Coturnix japonica: one gene and its partners. The protein of the gene in region 1 interacts with the protein of each later gene in a pairwise test. Links are inferred from orthologs where the notes say so. Each region holds a gene or a part of one and is shown in the gene's direction. Other genes may lie near its edges.

Region 1 (7,133 bases):
AGCTGTGACCTGCCTTCTGCCAAAGGCTGCTGAGCAGGGAAAGAAGGAAACCCACCCCTTCACACTTTGTTCACCACTGCCCCAATCCTCTGCCACAGAGTGAAGCAACCAACAGATGTGCAGGTGACAGCTGTATGTTCATGACAGCACTGCTGCAGAGCTGCCCCCTTGTACCTGGCATTGCCGCTCGTATTCCAGCACAAGCTCTGCAAAGTATTTGCCATGGTTCAGGAGCTCTGGGCTGTGAGGCTCTTCCTGGTCCAGCTAAAGAAGCACAGGGAAACACTTCGCATCAAGAAAATTGTCACCTCTCCAAATGGAGAGCCAAAAGCTCTACAAAATCACTGGAGAGTCACAGTCCTAAAGCCCTAGATTCAGAAAAGGGCTCCTACTGACACCAGTGGGATGGGTCAAGTGCAGAATGAGGGAAAAGAACATCTTTCTTCTGAAGTAAGAGACACCCAACTACAGACAGCCTGGCTTCCCCAAATCAGCCACCAACAACACTGACTCATTTCTTTCCCAGATTCCTTTCTTTCCCTTTTTCCATGCTCCTCACTGGAGTGGAAGCTTCAACTACTAACATTAACAAGAACAAACCCTTTATTCAATACTTGTTAAGAAGAAATGGTTTGAACATGTAATTGTCACTTGAAAACTTCAGATTTGTACAGTTTTCTACACTTGCAAATTTCCTCCTTTCAAACCTTGAAAGGCCTTAATTAAGGCACAGTAAGTCTTCTTTCCAGGTTGTCACTAATATGCAGGAGAATTCAAAGTGGGGCAGGGGGGAAACACAACAACTGAGCTGTAATAAACCAAATTTCAAAAGAAAAAAAAAGATTAACCTTTTGAAGAGTTCTCCAGAAGACCCCACTTAACCACAACACAGAAACAAAGGCTACCTTGTCCTTCACAACGAAGCTGAGCTCTTTCTGAAGCTCCAACACCAGCTTCTCAGAGGCTGTCAGTTTCTCACCCATCTCCATGACTTTGTTTTGCAGCTGTGTGTTCTCCTGCAGTAAAAACAGAGAAGATTTTTTGCATTGGGGGTCTTCACACTGCAGGAAAGTTTATCAGTTATGGGCCTTCAGTGGGAAGCTGCAGAACTACTAGCACATCAGTATGCTGATCACAGCGCAGCTCACAGGAAACCCCACTTTGGCCAGGACAGTGCTGACATGCCACATGAGCTAGAGTTTGGCTCAACTCTCCAAACAACAGAAAGAGGCATAGGTTTTATAGAATAAGAGCTAGGCAGCACTGTAGGCATGTCTGTACCTCTGCTTCACAGAACTATCTTGTCTGTGCCAGCACACTGAGAAGACATCAACTCCTCTCTGAACAACCCAGTCTTTACCATCACTTTCTGTGATGATATAACTACATCAACTGATGTTGTCTGTCCAGACTTCTCTCCCAAATGGAAAGAAATGGATTTGATGAGTGGACCATTCAATGGACAGGGAACTGGTTACAAGATCATACTCAGAGAGTAGTGGTCAGTGGCTCAGTGTCTGAATGGAGATCAGCCTGAAGAAAAGAAGTCTCTGAGGAGACTCAGTAGAGGCCTTTCAGTATCTAAAGGGGGGCTACAAGAAAGAAGGGGTGAGACTCTTTAGTAGGGTCTGCTGTGATAGGACAGGGGGAAATGGCTTCAAACTAAAAGAGGGGAGATTTAGATTGGATAAAAGAAAAAGGGGTATTTTTTTTTCACAATGAGGATTGTGATGCACTGGCACAGGTTGCCCAGAGATATGGTAGATACCCCATCCTTGAAGACATTCAAAGTCAGGCAGAACTGGGCTCTGAGCCATCTGATCTAGCTGCAGATGTCTTTGTTCACTGAAGGTGGGTTGGATAAGATGACCCTTAAAGGTCCCATCCAACTCAAATGATTCTAAGATAATATCTCAGGCATGGGCACACCTTTGTCCCTACTATTTTATGTTCCTTCACACAATTTTAGCCTCAGCCATCAGATCAGGTGTCACTAAAAGTTGAATCTTTCTCAACAGACTACGTGAGGGTTCAATAATGTCCTGCCCAGCAAATCTCCTTATTTTAATTGTGCAGTATGGATGTGACTCACAACTTCTCCACAAAATCCTGCCCTTCCTAGCAAAAGCAAGGCAAACTATCTGGCATTGTCACCACTTCTGCTTTGATTCCTCTGAAGGAGTGAAGACATTTAATTCAGGGTAGTTCTACTTACCTTCATCATGAGGTTCAGTCTCCCATGAAGGGTGGCCTCTTTGCCCTGGAGGAACCGTGCATCAGCCTCCAGCTTCACTTGATGGCTGATGGCTTGCTGCAAAAGCAGCTCTTTCACCTCCATTTCAGTCTGAGCATCCCTGGAACAGACAAGCAACATGTCTGAGAGCAGTTGAAACACATTCTCAGATTACTGTGAGGTCCAGGCATCCATGCTCACCCCACAAAAAGCAGAAGAGCAGAACTTGTTTGGAGGGATACAGGAAGCGCAAGTGAAGTGCACACAAGGGATCTTCAGGGGCTTGTATGCCACTCACACAACGTCCAAATAAGTGAGATATTCAGAAAGGGGGACTGGGATAAGGAGGAAGAGACAGTGGGGACCCATTTTCCCTGTTCAACCAAAAGAACCCTTCCTACTTGAGCTTGCCCTGGCTATGGTTAAGGGCGATGTACTGCTCGTCCAACTCCCTCCTGAGCTGCAGGCAGCGTCTCTCTGCTTTCTCCAAGTCCAGTCTGGCCGTGTCCCTCTCTCTGGAGATTCGCCTCACCTGGCTTCTGCAGGCAGAGCAAGGGTGCGTTCAGCTCAGAGACACCTCCTGCAGCCCAATGGAGGCTCTGCCCCTCACGAGGAGCAGCACCCTTACTTGAGGCACTGCAGTTTGTACGTATAGGAGGTGATGTCTGCACGCTGCAGCCCACTCTGTGACACCATGGCTGTGCTGTCCAGGGCTGCAGGCAGCTCTGCCGGGCTCCTTCGGTCTCTGAAACAGAAGCACTGAGTGAAACCACTCTTCCTTTCTGTCAACACCTCTAATGTTACGCCACCTGACTGCTCTCAAGAGGCAGCTTCCCATCTCAACAAGAGCCTTAGTTACAGAATCACAGAATCACAGAATGACCCGGGTTGGAAGGGACCTCAAGGATCATGTAGTTCCAACCCCCCTGCCTGGCAGGGCCACCAAACATACACCTTTACTAGATCAGGTTGCCCAGGGCCCCGTCCAACCTGGCCTTGAACACCTCCAAGGACGGGGCATCCACAACCTCCCTGGGCAGCCTGTTCCAGGACCTAGTTAACACCCACCCCAGCCCTGTGGTGGCCAAAGCCCACCCTCCCATTGCAACCTGCCCACGATCAGTTCTCCCACCCCTCACACACACACCAGCCCCAAGCCCTGACCCCAGCTCCAAGCCCCGCTCGCTCCCGTCCCCGCCCCTTCCTCTCTCCCACCTCTTCCGCCGGATCCCGCTCATGCGCAGCGCCCTGTGTGCGGCGGCGCCGCCATTGTAGTAGCTCGCGGTTAGGGCGACCAGGCCTGACTGAGCCATGTCGGGGTCCGCGGGCTCCGGCGGCACCACCGGCTCGGCGAGGAAACGGATCATGAAGGAGGAAGACATGACCAAGGTGGAGTTCGAGACGAGCGAGGAGGTGGACGTGACGCCCACGTTCGACACGATGGGGCTGAGGGAGGACCTGCTGCGCGGCATCTACGCCTACGGTGCGCGGCGGGAAGGCCGAGGCGGTGTGGGGGAAGGGGGGGAGGAAAATGGCGGCGTTGCGCTGTAACAGCCATGTCCTGCAGGGTTCGAGAAGCCGTCGGCCATCCAGCAGAGAGCCATCAAGCAGATCATCAAGGGACGAGACGTGATCGCGCAGTACGTGGGCCGGGGGGGAGGGATGCGGGGGAGGGGTGGGTGCTACCTCCGGAACGGCAGAGAGTTCACTACACCTCTGTTCTCAGGTCACAGTCGGGAACAGGGAAAACGGCCACGTTCTCCATCTGTGTGCTGCAGTGCCTGGACATACAGGTAGGCCATACTTGGAACATGGCGGTTGTCTTTATGTGAGGGTGGTGAAACACCGGCACAGGTTGCCCAGAGGCTGTGGATGCCCCTCCCTGGAGTCATTCAAGGCCAGGCTGGATGGGGCTGTGAGCAGCCTGGTCTGGAGGGAGGTGTCCTGCCTATAGCAGGGGTTGGAATGAGGTGGTCTTAAAGGTCCCGTCCAGCAGGTCAAAGGAGGTGATCCTTCCCCTCTACTCTGCCCTGGTGAGGCCTCATCTGGAATATTGTGTCCAGTTCTGGGCTCCCCAGTACAAAAAAGACAGGGATCTCTTGGAAAGAGTCCAACGGAGGGCCACAAAGATGGTGAAGGGCCTGGAGCATCTCCCCTGTGAGGAGAGACTTAGGGAACTGGGTCTGTTTAGCCTTGAGAAAAGAAGGCTGAGAGGGGACTTGATCCAGGTTTATAAATACCTGAGGTGTGGGAGCCATAGTGGTGAGGCTGGTCTCTTTTCAGTAGTGCATGGGGATAAGACTAGGGGTAATGGGATGAAAGTACAGCATAGGAAGTTCCGCACGAATGTGTGGAAGAACTTCTTTACAGTGAGGGTGACGGAGCACTGGAACAGGCTGCCAAGGGGGGTGGTGGAGTCTCCTTCTCTGGAGATATTTAAGACCCACCTGGACACCAACCTCTGTGATGTGGTGTAGGGAGCCTGCTTTGGCAGGGAGGTTGGACTTGATGATCTCTAGAGGTCCCTTCCAACCCCTACAATTCTGTGATTCTATGTTTGCTTTCATTGGAGGGCTGAATCTATTTCTCTGGCATGCATTGTGTGGTCAGGCACAGTCTTATAACATAATGTAAGGGGCTATAAATGTGTAAGCACTCCATGCGGGAGCAGCTTTCTGGGTGTGCCGATGCAAAATTGTACCATTGATCATTCAGATGTGACAATTCAGGGTACTGTGGGCTCTATTCTGTTTGTTTCTGCTTGCACTGTACTTGCTATGTGATGAACTGCCGTGTGATCAACAGGTTCGCGAGACCCAGGCACTGATCTTAGCACCAACTCGAGAGCTGGCTGTGCAGATTCAGAAGGTAGGAACATGTGAATTACTGCCTGTACGGTACTTATAAAGACTGATGCAGATTCTCCAAGTGTTCCCCAGCAGAGCTAGAAGTGCAACTTTTGCTTTTCAAAGGAATGCGTTGTCCTGAATGGAATAAGAAATCCCAATGAAGGGCTGTTTCTCCCTTCTGTGTTATATCCATTGGTCCTTACAGGATGGGTTAGTTAGCAGTCTTAATGTTTTACGTATTCCTACCTGGATTTCTAAGTACAGTACTCTTTAAAAGTAGTTGTGATTCCTGGGATATAAACCAAATCCCCAGCCTTTGAAAGCCTGCCATAAGAGCTCAGTTGATTCATTATTTATGTCCAAATAGGGTCTTCTTGCTCTGGGAGACTACATGAATGTCCAGTGTCACGCCTGCATCGGGGGGACCAACGTGGGTGAAGATATCCGAAAGCTGGATTATGGGCAGCACGTTGTTGCTGGCACTCCAGGCCGGGTGTTTGGTAAGAGCTGGGAGACTGTGTGCTTCCATGTTCACACTTCAGTTGAGCCATGGGACCATCCTGCAAATTTAATGCATTTAGATTTGGAATAGCATGGAAACTGCATTTATTGTGATACCATCAGTGTATGCAGTGATGAAGAGCAACAAAGGGTAAATTCACTGTAGTAGTAGCTGGAAGAGATGAGAAAGCAAACATTGGGGAAAGAATTAGGATTATCTGTTTATCCCTTGCTTTTATTAACAAAGTGGTTGTTTACATCGTGCCATAGAAAACAATATTATTAATGGTGATAATATTGCAATCCTGGGCTTATCTCAGTGTTGTGGAAGAGATAGGAGCTGGGTCTGTTTGAGTCTCAAAACAAGAAACAGAATGCCCATGTAAAATGTCTGTCTTCTTCCTGCTTATAAGCTCCCTTCCACTACTGGAAGGCTGCAGTGAGGTCTCCCTGGAGCCTTCTCTTCTGTGTCCACTTCCCCTGGTTGCAGGGTGTATTGGGGAGCACTGTGGCACTTGGCTCTGCTTTTCCATCACCAAACACCAGTCTCTGTTGGCAACAGGGGAAGTGCCAGTCCCTCCTCCAGTGAAATGCACTGACAGCGGCTGGGAGCAGTGTAGGCTCACTTGCTTTCTGAGCCTTTTCATCTTACAAAGTGAAATCTTACAGATATGATCCGGCGACGAAGTTTAAGGACTCGTGCTATCAAAATGCTGGTTCTGGATGAAGCCGATGAAATGCTCAACAAAGGTGAAATTTTGATCTCCCTCGTACTTTTCTCTACTCACCTCTTTGAGGTTCTGATATTGTCTCAGTCAGTCAGTAGTCCTGGTTCTAAAACCAACTGGTTTTACCAAAGCCAGGGAATCACAGTTCTATTGTGTGCTGTAGGAAACAACTTAATATGCTTTGCTTAACTTGGTTATTGTGTCCTTTTCAGTAGTTACAAATTGTGGAGTGCTGGTTTTTGTATTGTACTGTGCAGCACAGCCATGTCACGCTGGGTCTGGGAGAACTGGGCAGAGATGAGCAATGGGTGATGCTGGCTGTACGATAAAAACACTTGGTGTTCTTACAGTGTAGGCCCGCTGCTGAATTCCAGTTTAAGCTGAAAGAAAAGGATATTCAGGAGAAAGCTGTGCCGACTTCCCAGTGCTAATTGATTTCCTTTTGCAGGTTTCAAGGAGCAGATTTATGATGTGTACAGATATTTACCTCCAGCCACGCAGGTGGTGCTGATCAGTGCCACTTTGCCTCATGAAATTCTGGAGATGACCAACAAATTCATGACAGACCCCATTCGCATCTTGGTGAAACGGTGAGTGAGTTTTCTTGGGAAGAGCAGTTCTTGTCTTACTCGTGTTCCTTCTCAGCACTGCAGTTCAAGTAGGTATTTACAGACATCTTCATGTTGCACTTTGCAGCAGGGGCAGCCTTGTCTCTCTGACTTTATCCTTGTCCATTTCTGTTTGCTGCTGCTCAGTCTGACTTCCCTCACCCTCCCAAGTACTGTAGTCTCTTCTGGAAGCCTGTCTTTCGTTCCTACTCAA
Region 2 (7,090 bases), on another chromosome or scaffold:
AATAAGAGGCTACTTTAGACACAATTTCAATTTCTCATTATACAGCCAGAATAGTGCTCTATACCTATTTTGTAGCTTGCAAGAAAAACAAGCCAGAACAAAAGCAGGCTGGTACTGCAGCTCGTGACACAAGAAGCAAAGAGCAGTAGAGCTCTGTGTGTACCAGGGAGATGTTACAAGCACTATTATTGTGCACCATTTCTGCCTTTGATTTTCTGCCCAGGATCACACAAAAACTTCGAGCACTTAATCAAAGAATTAAAATCCTCGTTTTAACGCACATACAACTAACCCACAGTGCCCATCTAGACTTAATGATCAGCAAAGTTTTGGGTTTGTTTCATGGTTTCCTCCACCTGTTCCTTTTTGCTGCACCAACTCAGCACTTCCATAATACAGTGCTCAAATACAGAAACTTAGGTTACTTTTCAGATTTCTTTAGACAGAACTCAGTAAAAAAGAGATATGCTGGGACTTGATCTTGGGAAGAGATGTCCACATTACAAAAATTAAGTTGCAAACAGCTTTGCTTTTGCCACAGTTATTTGTGGTCTCACACAATGGCTCTTTGACAAAGCGCATGGTTGGTTGGAGAATTAAACTATGGAAAGCAAGAAGTTCCTTCCCTATTAAAAAGGTGTTTGTTGATACAGTCCAAATTCCTTCATAGGACAACTTCTGAGATGAAAACTTTGGGAGAAAGAAAAGACAAGAGAAATTTCTCCACCACAGAGAAGCACAGTTATGTTCCTTGTGTCAAGTGGTTACGAAAATGCATGAAGACACAGTGTCCTAGCACCAGTGTCTCGCAAATATCCAGCCGTTATTGGCCCGCAGTTTTATTTCATCTTAAAGCCAAGATGTGGAAAGTAAGTCAGGTTTCATCCTGCCCCAGGGCTTTGATGTTCTTACTTTCTATGATAAGCAAATCTGTCTCAGAGCAGCAAATCTCCCCGACATCAACATAATTTACTTTTGGATTATGGAAACCAGTCACGGACTCAGATGTGAATGATCCAAATAGTTTATTACAGGTTCTCATGTCACTTTATATATTCACAAGTTCCCTTTTTTGTAAAGGCAGATGGGAAAGCCAGCTTTCCCATTAACAAAGTATCCACAAACACTTCCTAAGCATGCATGCAGGTGCTTATCCAATCAGAGCCATGAGCCGTTCCTTTTGCTTTTCTCTTCTAGAGATGTCCTTGGTTCTCAGCCTTGCTTTCTCATGCTGTTTATCTTGCTCCACAGCTTCTGCTCTGAATAGTCTTTCTTGTATTCCCACACTGGATTCCTATTTAAATCCTTTCTTTATTTTTCCTGTATGGAGGAGACACAGGGAAAGCCCAGAACCAGAGCTTTCAAGTGATTCGTTTTGAGTTTGTGCAACATCTCTCACCAATCTTGCAAGCTGCTGAGATGCCACTGTTTCATACAAAACCCCCTTCATACGAACTGCTGTGATCCCCCATCTTTCTCAACAACAATAAACAAGCTTTTTGTGGTGATGCAGCTTTGTGGAAGTAAACACAATTAAACCTTGTGCTAAAATGAGCAGCATACTAATAAGCGCTGAATCAATTATTCCATAGGAATTCAAGGCTATCAGCAGTCTTAGATCAGGCACGGTAGCTTATAAAGTGTTCACTGATTCCCTGTAAGAAACAAGCAACTGAATCTGTATGATACACACAGTTACCCTGCTTCCTCACCTCCTTTCTTTAGGTTAAGCTGGATTTGCTTCCCACCTTGCAAATGTTCTTATTCCTGCTCCCCCTCTTTCATTTGCATTTTATTAATGCCTGTTGGCTGGATTAAAAAATCCCCAGATCAGCCTTCTACAAATCAGGGCCGACACAGAGCCTTTCTGAGAGCTATAGATACAAAAACTTGTCAGCTCTCAGAAAACACAGAACTACTGAACCAACACTTAGAAAATACTCTGGAAGCCACCTGTCTGGATGCACACTGAGTGCCAAGTCCCACACATAGGCAAGCACAGCAGCACAAAGTGGCTCCACATTTCTAGCAGGCAGGTAGGAGAGCCATGCTGCATGTGCCTCTGTTCCAGCGTACTGGTCTTGCTAGTGTTAACTGACAAAGAATGGAAGGTACAGCTCCTCGTAGCTTGAGCTCATTCTTTGTAGCCCATCACCAACACTGACTGACTCATTCTGAGTCAAGCATGTCCAGGTAGAGCTTTACTACCCACAGAATCACCAGTTCCATGTGTTTCATTCTGCAACAACATGTGCTGGCCTGCAACTGCTAAGAGTAATTCTTTTTTCACACCCAGCCATACAACCACTCAGTAGCACAGCTTTCCCTTGCAATTTTGGCCATGCCACTGAACCAGGAAGGATGCATTTTAGACAGTTGCAGTCGCCTTCAGAGCTTTGTGATTTTTATACGTTTGCTAAAACCACCTGCATAATACCTGCAACATAGAGAGCTGCTGAACACAACGAGGCACTGAAGTACCTACACAGCTATCCAATATTACACTTCTAAAGCTGTTCACATAAGATTCCCATCCCGGAGCCACAGACACTAAGCTTAAGGAGCAGCCACAGTGCCCTACAAGTCAGGTTGTCAAGATTCTCAAAACGTTTTTACATGTGCAGATACAAGGCGAGATCCAGGTCCAAGTCTGACTATCAGGAACACTTCACATTATGAGACTCTCATGATAAAGAAGCTCTTGAGCTCCTGAAAGTACTCAACACCTACAGCACTGGCAGTCCAGCAAGTCCTATCACTATAATGCAGAGCACGAGCAACATCCACCCCCTCCCTCCCCAGCAAAGCAATAGGGGAGGACCCAAAGCTCACACAGCACTGCCGTAATAGCGCCGCGCTTTACGATATCGCCGTAAAGAAAAGGAGGAAGCAGCCGGTGGTGTGTTGCTGGGTGAGCTCAGGCCGCCATGGACCGGAGGAAGAAGCCGCTGGATGTGGCTGCCTCCTCGGTAAGCGAACAGAGAAGGGGAGAGGTAGTATCTGCAGCAGGGGCTGCCGCTTGGCTTATAAGTAGGGCTGCCGTGGTGCGAGGCCTGGTCGGTTGCCTGCTGCTGTAGGGCTCTGTCGTAGGAAGCAGCTTTGCTTCCCATATGTGCTGGAAGCTTAGAGTGACCTCCTCGATTAGATTGCTGCTTTTAAGGGCTATATAGAACTGCAATTCAATGCTCGCATAGCTGTTAATAGCTGTGTTGCTTTGCTCTGTAGAGGTATAATTGTTTCCTGTAGCTGATGGTTGGCAATGTGTTTGTTCCTATTGCCGGTGATGTAGTTGGTAGATCTCAAAGCTGAGCTCTTCCGCAAGCAAGAAGAATTCAAGAAGGAAAAGCTACTGAAAGATGCCGGCATCTTCGCAAAGCCTAAACCCACTAATAAGGTAAAAACAATCTTCTGTTTTTTGTCATCCATTCCCCTTAAACTATGGCAGTTTGTACACGTTTAAATCTCAGGAAATAAGGATTCTGAGCTGTATTGCCATGTGAATTTCCACCATGAGGATGTTTCCAGATGTGGGTTTTGTGCAGCCTGTTCCTGTCAGAGTAGTCTCTGAAGTTTCATTTCCTGGGGAGCCAAAGCTTTTCTATCTACAAAGAAAAATGCTTATTTCTCACTTTCTCACTTATTTGCTTCCCCAAAGGAGGGAAGATGGCAAACTCATCCAGAACTGCTGAGCTTAATAAATGCTGTATTGTGTGCTCCTCTCTATCACAATGCATCACAGTGAACAGACAATTCTCACTCATTTTTACTCCTTTCCATATGTTTTCTATTTGTTCTGTAGCTTTCTAGTACTGGAGTTACCACACTTGAAGGTTGTTTGGCACTGAAATCTGTATTTTTAATCTAAAATGAAGTAGGAGAGAATGCAAGCAGTTCATAGCTTTGTTATTACTTCAGTTATTCATCATTTTTTTCCCATGAAAACTTTGCCAGAATAGATTTTGGCTGATATGTGTTTCCTTTTTCCTCTCAGCCTGACCTTCATTATCACATTGTACAGCAATCTGGCCTTTTAGGATGTACTTGCTGTGTTCCACAGCAGGTAGAGTCTCAAGTCAAATGTGTTTAAGAGCTTATTTAGAAGTCTTACTCTATTGAGTAATGCTGATTGTTTCATGGTTTCCCACAGAAACCAAGCATCTGGACCAAACAAAACACAGGAGTTGCAAAACGAGCTGAGAAAGATATTGAGCAGAAGGCAGAAGAGGATCAAACCTTAGATCAATCAAGGTAATTCTTAAGCTGTATAAGAAAGGAATGTTTTATACAACTTGTTTTTCAATACTTATAAAAGTACATAAAAAGTTACGTGCATTCTGGATGAGCAGTTCTTACCAGATCAACAGGTGAGACCAGCATCAGTCCCATGCTCTGTGGGAGTGATGTACAGGCTGTACCGAAGTGTTCTTATGCTCTGGAGACATCTGCCCTCATATCATCACAGCTATCTGAGTGTGTAAAGCTGCTGAGATTTGAGTGCCATCTTTGGAAGCAAAATCCAGGGCAGTGATGCATCAGAAGTCACGTCACAAACCACGTCTTGGACTTGACAGAAGATGGCTCACTGTTTTGTAAATCTGATTCGTCCCCTAAATGGCTTAGCTATTGTATGGGAAATTGGTTATCACAGCCTGAACCTCTGATTAATCGGCTGAGGCAAGTGTTGGGTCAGCTGTGGGAGCACAGGTGAGAGTAATTTAGCTGTGCTTCTGGAAGGGGTGGAGCTCGACTCCATCTCCTCTAGACCTCATTTAAGGGCTGACCACCACTAAGGCAGCATCTCTTGGAGACTGCTTCCTGGTGGAGACTGCATCAGCATTTCCCAGTGAAGACATCCATATTGTTGACTTTTTCCTCATAAATAGCCTTTTGCGTATCTGTCACTATCTTTGTTACCATCTTTGTATCATTCTACCATACAGATACTATCAGTTAAACTTTAATACAACAACAAAAACCCAACAGGTGTTACTCAGCTTCTAGTAGATATTTCAAGCATTCCTGGTATTACTTTTCTCATTACCTAAGTATAAATGGCTCATTATGAATGGTGTTTGGAATTGGTGAAATTAAAGGTTGGTTTGTTTGTTTCTCAGGAAGAAACTTGAAGAGAAAGCAAAGCTGTATGAGAAGATGACAAAAGGCGATTTCCCAGGTGAACAAAGCTAATCTAAAATAAGCGGTTATATGTGTGCATTTATATATAAGATAGATTTAAGTAGTTACTTGTTTTAATTTAAAATTGAATTATTTTTTACAGAGCTTACTATTAATTAGTGTAGCATATTTAAAAATAGAATCATGTACTTGTTTGCAAAATTCCCCCTAAAGATTGGCCTATCACTATCTAATGGCTTACAGCAGCTGCACTATGAATTCACTGCTTGCCTTCTTCCTTGAGGAATTATTTTGGGGGCTGTTATACAGTGATTAACATGGGTTATTCTGCTATTGGAGAGAGAAAATCATGTAAGTACTAGGAAATGTGAAATTACTTTTTGAAGGACAGTCTGTCCTCGTAAAGGACTATGAGCTTGTTGTATGCAGGCAGTCATTAAGTGGGTGGAATGTAATCTGCTTTTTCAATATAGAATATTAGAGGGGGGAAAAAAATGTATTCTCCATAGTGCAGTCTTTGCATTTCATTGCTGTTTTTTTGTCCTGCATTCTAATTCTTGGGCTTTATGAAGAAGAGCACTGCATCATGCAGATAACAGAGAATCCTAATCTGGCCCTTTCTTTTTTCACACATTCAGTCACTTGCAAGAAATAATTATTGACCAGAATTCAAATCTCCTTGCAGTATCTAATATTCCCTTTATTAGTGTCCAACTTGGTCACATGTGGGCTCACTGCTTTTCTCCACTTTTCAAAGAAGTACTTTAGTGACTGTTTTCTGCCACCATAGTAAGTGCTAAGCACCAAATAAGTGTTTGAACTGTTGTGTAACAACCCCCAGATCTTTGAAATAATTAATGAGCATAGAATATTGTAGTGTGGAGAGGGGTATCTTTTCTGTATTCTGTGCATAAATAATTGCTTTTAAAAAGCATAGAAGTTGTATTCACAAATATAGGTTATCACTGTGGAGCCAGCTTACCGCTCCAAGTTTTTTTGACCTGAAGTGAGATTTAGGTACTCCCTGGTGGTGTGGACAAGGGCATTGCTGGCAGCTGCAGAGGTGATTGTGCCTGTGATGTATCTATTGATTTTTGTGTTGAGTTCTGTTCCTTTTGCGGCTCTTCTCTACGAATTGATTTTCTGCCTTAGATGAAGAAACTGAAGACTTGTACCTAGTGGATTTCACTCAGAAGATCATAGACAAACAGCGAGAAGTACAGGAACTGCATCAGAACGAAACTGATAGAAAGACTTTAGAAAAGGAGACAGATGATGAGGAAATTGAGCCAGAAATGGAAATACCACCACCAGAAGACCCAGATGAAGAATGGTTGGTGCTGCTGAGTGGGCAATTGCATGAGAAAAGAATTCTGTTCCACATAACGCTTACAGTGACAGTTTTTTGTTGGGCTTTAGAGAAGAGGTGGTTCTTTCTGTTTCATGTCTTAATAAGAGACAGTACCTTGTGTTACTTCCCACATAGACAACAAGTGCAATAGAATCCACCCATTACTATGTTTTCAACTAAGATCTTAGCATTAATTACAAAACCAATCTGACTAAACCCTTTCTTTACCAACATGTGAAGAATGCTTATGGAACAAAGATTTTAATGGTGGTAATCAATCAAAAAGAGCACTTTGGCTCTCCAGCCTAATAGGCCACAATAGGATTTGCAGTATAATTTTCCAGAACAAAATAAACCAGGAGAGCACATCCAGGCAGGTACCAGAGAACTACTAGGTTGGAAGGGCAGATAACATGTAGTGCTATTAAGTGTCTTACTGAGATTTGAGATGAAACCATCAGTGATCCAATGAGGAGTCCAAACTGCTCTGTGCTCTTGTCACAGTAAGGTGTCACAAATTTAAACCAATACATTCTGCTGTTCACGTGGTACTTCTCTGTCATGGCATACAGCTCACCTCAGTAACATACGTTATTACGTTGT
Region 3 (6,343 bases), on another chromosome or scaffold:
AGTAATTCTTGTGCACTTCTGTGCACGCCGCTTCTAATATCATAGTAGAAAGTGATGAAGAGACTAGCTGCTGAACGTGTCATACAGATTCTCTTGCCATTTTCTGCATATGTTGCTGGAGTCAGTGGCCACAGGCACAGCTGTGTGTGAATGAGTGTTGGGTTGACTTCAAGTCTTGTTTGTGAACTGTCTGTCCTTTCTTAGTTGCTCACTGTTCTCTATTTTGCCAGGTGGAGCAGGTGGTAAAGGAGTCTGGGGAACACCAGGTCAAGTGTATGATGTGGAAGAAGTAGATATTAAGGATCCTAATTATGATGATGACCAGGTAGGCCAACAGACTTCTTTGCTCAGTGCTTGTTTTGATTTTATATTAATTAAAATTACTGTGATGCTCATATTAATAAATGTTTCACCTCACAGGTTAAATGGGTGTTTGACCGGCTCTATTAAGTACTTGTTTTTTTTTGTTTAAGAATGGATTACTGTCTTAAAGATGACTGGTGTAGAAGTGCTGCAGTAGATAGCATTCATAGGTCTTACACCCAAGCCCTCCTTCTGTACTTGACTAGTGTCATGGTTTTGTATAGACTAGACACTAGACAGTGTGTTTTTCCCAGGCGTGTTCTTTCCTTGCTGGTTCTCATGGAGCTGAGTGTTGCAGTGCTGCTCTGAGTTGCAAGCAGGCACCATGTTAAAGTGCAGCACAGATTGCAGCTGGGAGTTTATCTGTTACCTTTTAAGGATTTCTCTCTTCTTTGTATCCCTAACACTGTGGATATAATATCATCTTGGTACAAACAGTTAAAGGTACCATGAAGCTGAGGACCTGGATTTTCTGTTTATTTACATGTATTTAGGATATGTTATGGAAGATTCTACCTTACAGCTATATTATCAACAACAACAAAAAGAAAGCAGCGTTTCCTAAATAAATTTGTCAGATTAAAACCCTGAGATTACAGACATGGATTACTGATGTCTCTGCAACAGATGCATTTGTGAGACCATAAATAAAGTTTGTGTAACAACAGCAGAGTGATGGTGGTGTCTTTTGAGCTGCAGCTTTTATTTGTAGCCATAGCTGCTGACATGATGCTCTGTGGGTATGTCAGAATCTTCTTTCAGAATCACTTCTTCCACCAGTTCATCACAGATTAGCAGAGGTAGCTATTGAAAATGAAGTTGGTGATTGCATAAAATAAGTTTGTATGAAAACTGAGAATTGCATTAAACTCCTGCCTGCTTAGCTTTTCTAAGATTGTAAATGAAGCGATATGATAGAAGAGTAGGCCTTTGAGCTTCTGCTGTAATTCTTGATCCTAGAATATTTCTTTTCTGTAAGTATTTGCTGGAAATTTCTTTGAGACTGCAGCAATCTCTAATATTACTCCAAACGTTCTGTAGTCTATGAGGAAATAAATCATAGTGGGGAGTCCTGGCCATGCTAGAACTCTTCAGGACCAGTTGTTGTGTAATGTTTTCCTGTTAGGGAATAATTTGGCTTAAGGGTGTTCTGGAAGTGCTTTGCTGTGTCTGGCAGATCTATGCATGCTGTCACTTGTCTGATCATGAAGGTCCTCCAGGGAAGAGGGAAAACAAGCAGGCGTGCTGGTAGGGACAGGAACATTGGTTGTAGGGAGGGTTGCTAAAAGTTATATCTTGTGGAACTGATGACTCTGCTGGGCTGGGATAGGAGTTTCTATCACCCTCCCTTGAGTACCAGGGTACTTGATTCTGTGTTCACATGGTGTCAGAAGAATGCTAGGAGTATTTACTGTCATTTAGCAGTAAGCTCAATTAACACTAAACTCAAAATACAAGAAGTATGACATATAGCTGGCCTTGTGCACACTTCAACCATAGAGACATAATCTGACATTTTCTGGTGGAATACTGACTATGAGGACTAAAGCATTAGAGATGTAGATTGTTTTGACTCTGTTTGCACTTGTTTACAAAAGTCTTTATGTTTTTGTTTCCTTTTGAAATAGGAGAATTGTGTCTATGAAACAGTAGTTTTACCTCTGGATGAAAGAGCATTTGAAAAAACTTTAACACCGATCATACAGGAATATTTTGAACATGGAGATACTAACGAGGTTTCGGTATGTCATGTGCCTTTACACTTAATTTAGGGGGCAAGCTTATAGTGTACAAGTGAGTCCCAGGTGCTTGTAAATGAGTGTGTGCCAGAAATGTGCATAGGAATACCAAAGCAGTTATATTCATTACATGGGTAGAAGCATGTATTGTGTAAATATTTGTTAATAACTTACATTTCTATAGTATTAAAATGGTGAGATCTTAATCTGTTTTGTTTTACAAATTTTATTTTAGGAGATGCTGAAAGATTTAAACCTCGGTGAAATGAAATACAGTGTGCCAGTGCTGGCTGTTTCCTTGGCGTTAGAGGGGAAGGCTAGTCACAGGGAGATGACATCTAAGCTTATCTCTGACCTTTGTGGGACAGTAGTAAGCAAAACTGATGTGGAAAAATCATTTGACAGACTGCTTAAAGATCTACCTGAATTGGTGTTGGATTCTCCCAGGGCACCACAGGTAGGTTGGCAGATTTTTATGTTGGTTGTCAAAAGTTTTTCCTTTTAAATTGTGCCTAAAATTAATCACGCAAAATGAAGTAAGACTGTATATGGAAAAACAGCTATGGAGAATCTTCCTGTTTGTAGTCCCTGTATCCAGTTTCCCAGGCTGTGCTTTTACTTTGAGATAAAAATATATAAAATCAGAAAACCAAGCATATTGTATTTGTCTGCTTAAAACTGTTTTCAGATTCAACTTCTACTTAAAAGTGCTTCTGTTTTGTTTTAGTTGGTGGGCCAGTTTATTGCTAGGGCTGTTGGAGATGGGATTTTGAGCAATACTTACATAGATGGCTACAAAGGCACTGTGGATTGCATCCAAGCTCGGTAAGTTTCTTGCTGTCCACAGCTATGGTTTTCTATTTCAAATGCCTAAGAAAATCAGGAATTTGGGACTTGGGGTACAAATCATTTGGTTCTCTGAGTTCAATTCTGAGTTAAGAGATCAGAAATGCACAGTCTGCAATAACAACAAAACCCAGATTTACTCAGGTCAGCTAAGAAACACTTGAAGCGCCTTAAAAACATATTGATACCTTTTAGGTCAGTTTGTTGGGTTTGTTGTCCCACTTAATTTTGAATGGGGAGCCTGAGCTGAAACAAGAAGTGCTTATAAAAGGTTTTGTCTTTAGAAAAGGCTTTAATGGGACTAATGAGTAACAGCGTCAGGGCAGCTGTTGTGAAATACACAAGGGATTAAGTGCTTAGCTTCATAAAGGTTTCAGGTTTGTGCAGTGTGTTATCCTAGACTGTGGCACTTTATTCATCAATACACGTTTTCAGTTTCGGGGTTAGATGTTTGAAGGAAGGTCTGAGAGAAGAGAAATTGTAATAACCAGTCAGGGGCTTTTATTGTTTGTTCTCCCATAAGTGTTTCAGACTTCAATAATGAGGTGCTGAACTCTTATTAAAAAAGCTCTGTTGTTACAATTAAAGCTGAATGCTTCTAGGAAGAAGGGCAGTGCTCAGCTGCCTCACTTGGGGGTTCACACTGAGAAAGCTGTTAGTCTGTTATTCCAGTTTCTCCTGTGGTATGGAGGATCTTAGCCTGCGTGTTGCACATCTGGGATGTTTTGCTGCCACTGCAGTTTCACTGCAAAACAAATGGCCAGTCTTTGCTGCTTGTTAAATCTCAGTGAATAGTTTTTTCACTAACATTAATATGAGGATTGGGAGATAACCGGTCCTTCTTGCTGGATAGTGCCTAACTGGATCTGACATTTCTTCTTTTTCTCACCTACTCTAGTTTTCTCATCTCTTTGCAGTTACGTATTTGCCTTCTGAAGTGCTGTTTTGCCTTGAACTCTAAAGGCTCACAGTTCTTTAGATAGCAAATTTATTTCAGTACAAAAGCCACTCTTGAGCATGGAAGCAACTCACACCTCTTGTTTTGAGATGTACCTCCAAGCTGAATTCTTGGAGCAGACTGGATGCAATTCATCTCTGGCAAAGAAACTGTTCTTTCCTTTGAATTGATGATTCCGACCTACTGCCATTGCAGGATCATTCCCTGTCCTTAGTGCAGTATAACCAAGAGCGTGAGGGTGGTGTGACCTCTTCCCAATCAGGATCACTTTGACTGAAGAAAAGTGATAGATATGGTGGGGTTGTTGTGGATGTTCCAGGTGTCTTCTAATGAAGTTTCCTAACTTCCTAAAACACTGTTTTTACTTTCTAGAGCTGCGCTGGACCGAGCTACCGTGTTGCTGAGCGTGACAAAGGGTGGGAAGCGCATAGACAATGTGTGGGGCTCGGGAGGTGGCCAGCAGTCTGTGAAACACCTTGTTAAAGAGGTAGCTGACTTCTACAAGTCTCTTCTCTGCAGAGTATGCTCCTCGTTTAAGCTTATCTTGGTTGGGACGGAGCAAAGAAACGCACATATCCACATATCCTGCAGCTAAATGATGTCTGGTGTTGCTTTTTTTTTTTTTAATATTCATATTTCAGTTTACTTTATACGAAGTAGGTTATGAAAATTGATGTGGATCATTTTGTGGATGGAGGTGGATATCCCTAGTGATCAGTGGAGGGAACATACTGGCTCATATGCTGCACTGCAAGTGTACACCTGTTCTTGCTTTAAGCTAAACTTCAAGCATTTAACTTGTAGAGAGTTTATAGTACAAAATGGTGAAGTAATATTAGAGATGAAATGAAATTAGTCTTAGTCACTGATGCCAGAAAATAAAGCACAGCAGTAACTTGAAAATAAAAGTCAGGAAGTTCTGAGAAAACTTAGGAGATCTGTGCTACGAAGTAGGCAGAAGGTTTAAAATAAATAGTCACATTATATTCTCTTGAGCTGTGAGTGTAGCAGATGATAAAGAGTTCAGGCAAGAAGATAAACTTGCAGTCATCACTTGAAGCAAAGTTTTAGTGGTAGCACATCTGTGTTACGTTACAGAAAGACGTATCTGGCTTACAGTATGTTTGAGGGTCCTGCCCATATCTCAATTTAATTCCATTTACTAGAACTCTAGCTGTAGGTTTGAGGAACTAGCTTGATACTAGATTGATCACCAATCAGCAGAACAGTTGGCAGCTTTTAAATCTTGTATCTAACTAGTGATGGGTTTTGTTTGTTTTAAAATGCAATAGATTGATATGCTGCTGAAAGAATATTTGCTTTCTGGAGACCTGCTGGAAGCTGAACGTTGCCTTCAGGATCTGGAAGTACCCCATTTTCACCATGAACTTGTATATGAAGTAAGGAGAAATGAGTCCCTTTAATGACTGCCGGGTGTTGTTTTGATGTGGGTATGCATTTAGCTGGAACTTGAAGCTCAGTTTCAAGTTTTGATGTTATTTAAGTAACTGAATTACTTCATGTAAAGTTAATGGTTTATGTGCTCACTGTGTGTATGTTGTGTAATAAATAAGCTGCTGGTCCTTCTGGGAAGATCCAGAATTTTATTTTGTTTGCTGGGTAATTAGCTGTGTTCAGACTATTACTGATACCTGAAAAATAAGAGCTTAGCTTATTTTCTGCTGAGGAATACCAGCAAAAGCCCTAGGTTGTATTGGAGTTTATTTCCTTTTAATTACGTGTTACAACAGTTTTCAGACATCTGGGCATTCTAATGGGTGTTGCCTGTTTTTGTTAAGATATAGTTTCCTTTGCAGGCTGGAATTGTTCCATGTAGTATCTCTGTAGAAGGCTGAGATAACTCAGAACCAGACTATACAAGAAAGATCTTTGCTGTATCTAGTAGGCAGTTTTGGTTTGCACTTGAAATGGTTGGATACAAAATTAATTGCCATCTGTGCTGCAGCAACCATGCAGATCCAGTTATGTATCCCTCCAACAAGGCAGTGTTCTTTACTCTGCCCAGTCCTTCCTCTTTTCTCATACCTTTCAGCTTTATGCCAATAACTTTTTATCAGGCTTTGCTTTCCTTTCAAATAACAATATTCTGGAATTGGAACTGCTTGTAGCAAATGGACTTGTCTCCCCAGAAATACATTCACTCTTTTTTTGCACTTTGATACACAACCTGCACTCAAACCACTGTTTTCCTTTAATTAAAAGCCTTGCATGGTTTGTTTTAGGCAATCGTGATGGTTTTGGAGTCTACTGGAGAAAAGACCTTTAAAATGATGCTGGATTTGCTGAAATCTCTCTCGAGGTCTTCTGTCATTACTATGGACCAAATGAAAAGAGTAAGTATGGCATTGAAAGAATGCTGGGTAAGATTTTCAAGTAGCTTCTATCTTCTTTTAAGTACTGGTTGTAATTTATTGCA

Evidence for each region.
Region 2: the proteins of EIF4A3 (region 1) and CCDC174 interact in binary tests that used the Homo sapiens proteins (3 or more experiments, as listed by UniProt). The two-hybrid records come from large-scale screens. The link is inferred for Coturnix japonica from reciprocal best matches to the Homo sapiens genes EIF4A3 and CCDC174.
Region 3: the proteins of EIF4A3 (region 1) and PDCD4 interact in binary tests that used the Homo sapiens proteins (3 or more experiments, as listed by UniProt). The two-hybrid records come from large-scale screens. The link is inferred for Coturnix japonica from reciprocal best matches to the Homo sapiens genes EIF4A3 and PDCD4.

Annotation. Positions count from the first base shown.
Region 1 is NC_029518.1:14,285,180-14,292,312, forward strand, and holds the start of EIF4A3 (eukaryotic initiation factor 4A-III), read left to right. Parts: upstream 1-3,461; 5' UTR 3,462-3,544; coding exon 3,545-3,716; intron 3,717-3,800; coding exon 3,801-3,873; intron 3,874-3,959; coding exon 3,960-4,026; intron 4,027-5,038; coding exon 5,039-5,101; intron 5,102-5,449; coding exon 5,450-5,582; intron 5,583-6,252; coding exon 6,253-6,333; intron 6,334-6,759; coding exon 6,760-6,901; intron 6,902-7,133. Other genes in the region: NINL (ninein-like protein), read right to left, coding at 175-264, 906-1,016, 2,216-2,354, 2,635-2,772, 2,862-2,929. UniProt on the Homo sapiens protein: ATP-dependent RNA helicase. Involved in pre-mRNA splicing as component of the spliceosome. Core component of the splicing-dependent multiprotein exon junction complex (EJC) deposited at splice junctions on mRNAs.
Region 2 is NC_029527.1:8,784,843-8,791,932, forward strand, and holds the start of CCDC174 (coiled-coil domain-containing protein 174), read left to right. Parts: upstream 1-2,838; 5' UTR 2,839-2,927; coding exon 2,928-2,969; intron 2,970-3,289; coding exon 3,290-3,394; intron 3,395-4,147; coding exon 4,148-4,248; intron 4,249-4,842; exon of another isoform or gene 4,843-4,861; intron 4,862-5,114; coding exon 5,115-5,173; intron 5,174-6,288; coding exon 6,289-6,469; intron 6,470-7,090. UniProt on the Homo sapiens protein: Probably involved in neuronal development.
Region 3 is NC_029521.1:23,090,073-23,096,415, forward strand, and holds part of PDCD4 (programmed cell death protein 4), read left to right. Parts: intron 1-230; coding exon 231-325; intron 326-1,991; coding exon 1,992-2,105; intron 2,106-2,337; coding exon 2,338-2,559; intron 2,560-2,829; coding exon 2,830-2,927; intron 2,928-4,278; coding exon 4,279-4,393; intron 4,394-5,198; coding exon 5,199-5,306; intron 5,307-6,149; coding exon 6,150-6,260; intron 6,261-6,343. UniProt on the Homo sapiens protein: Inhibits translation initiation and cap-dependent translation. May excert its function by hindering the interaction between EIF4A1 and EIF4G. Inhibits the helicase activity of EIF4A. Modulates the activation of JUN kinase.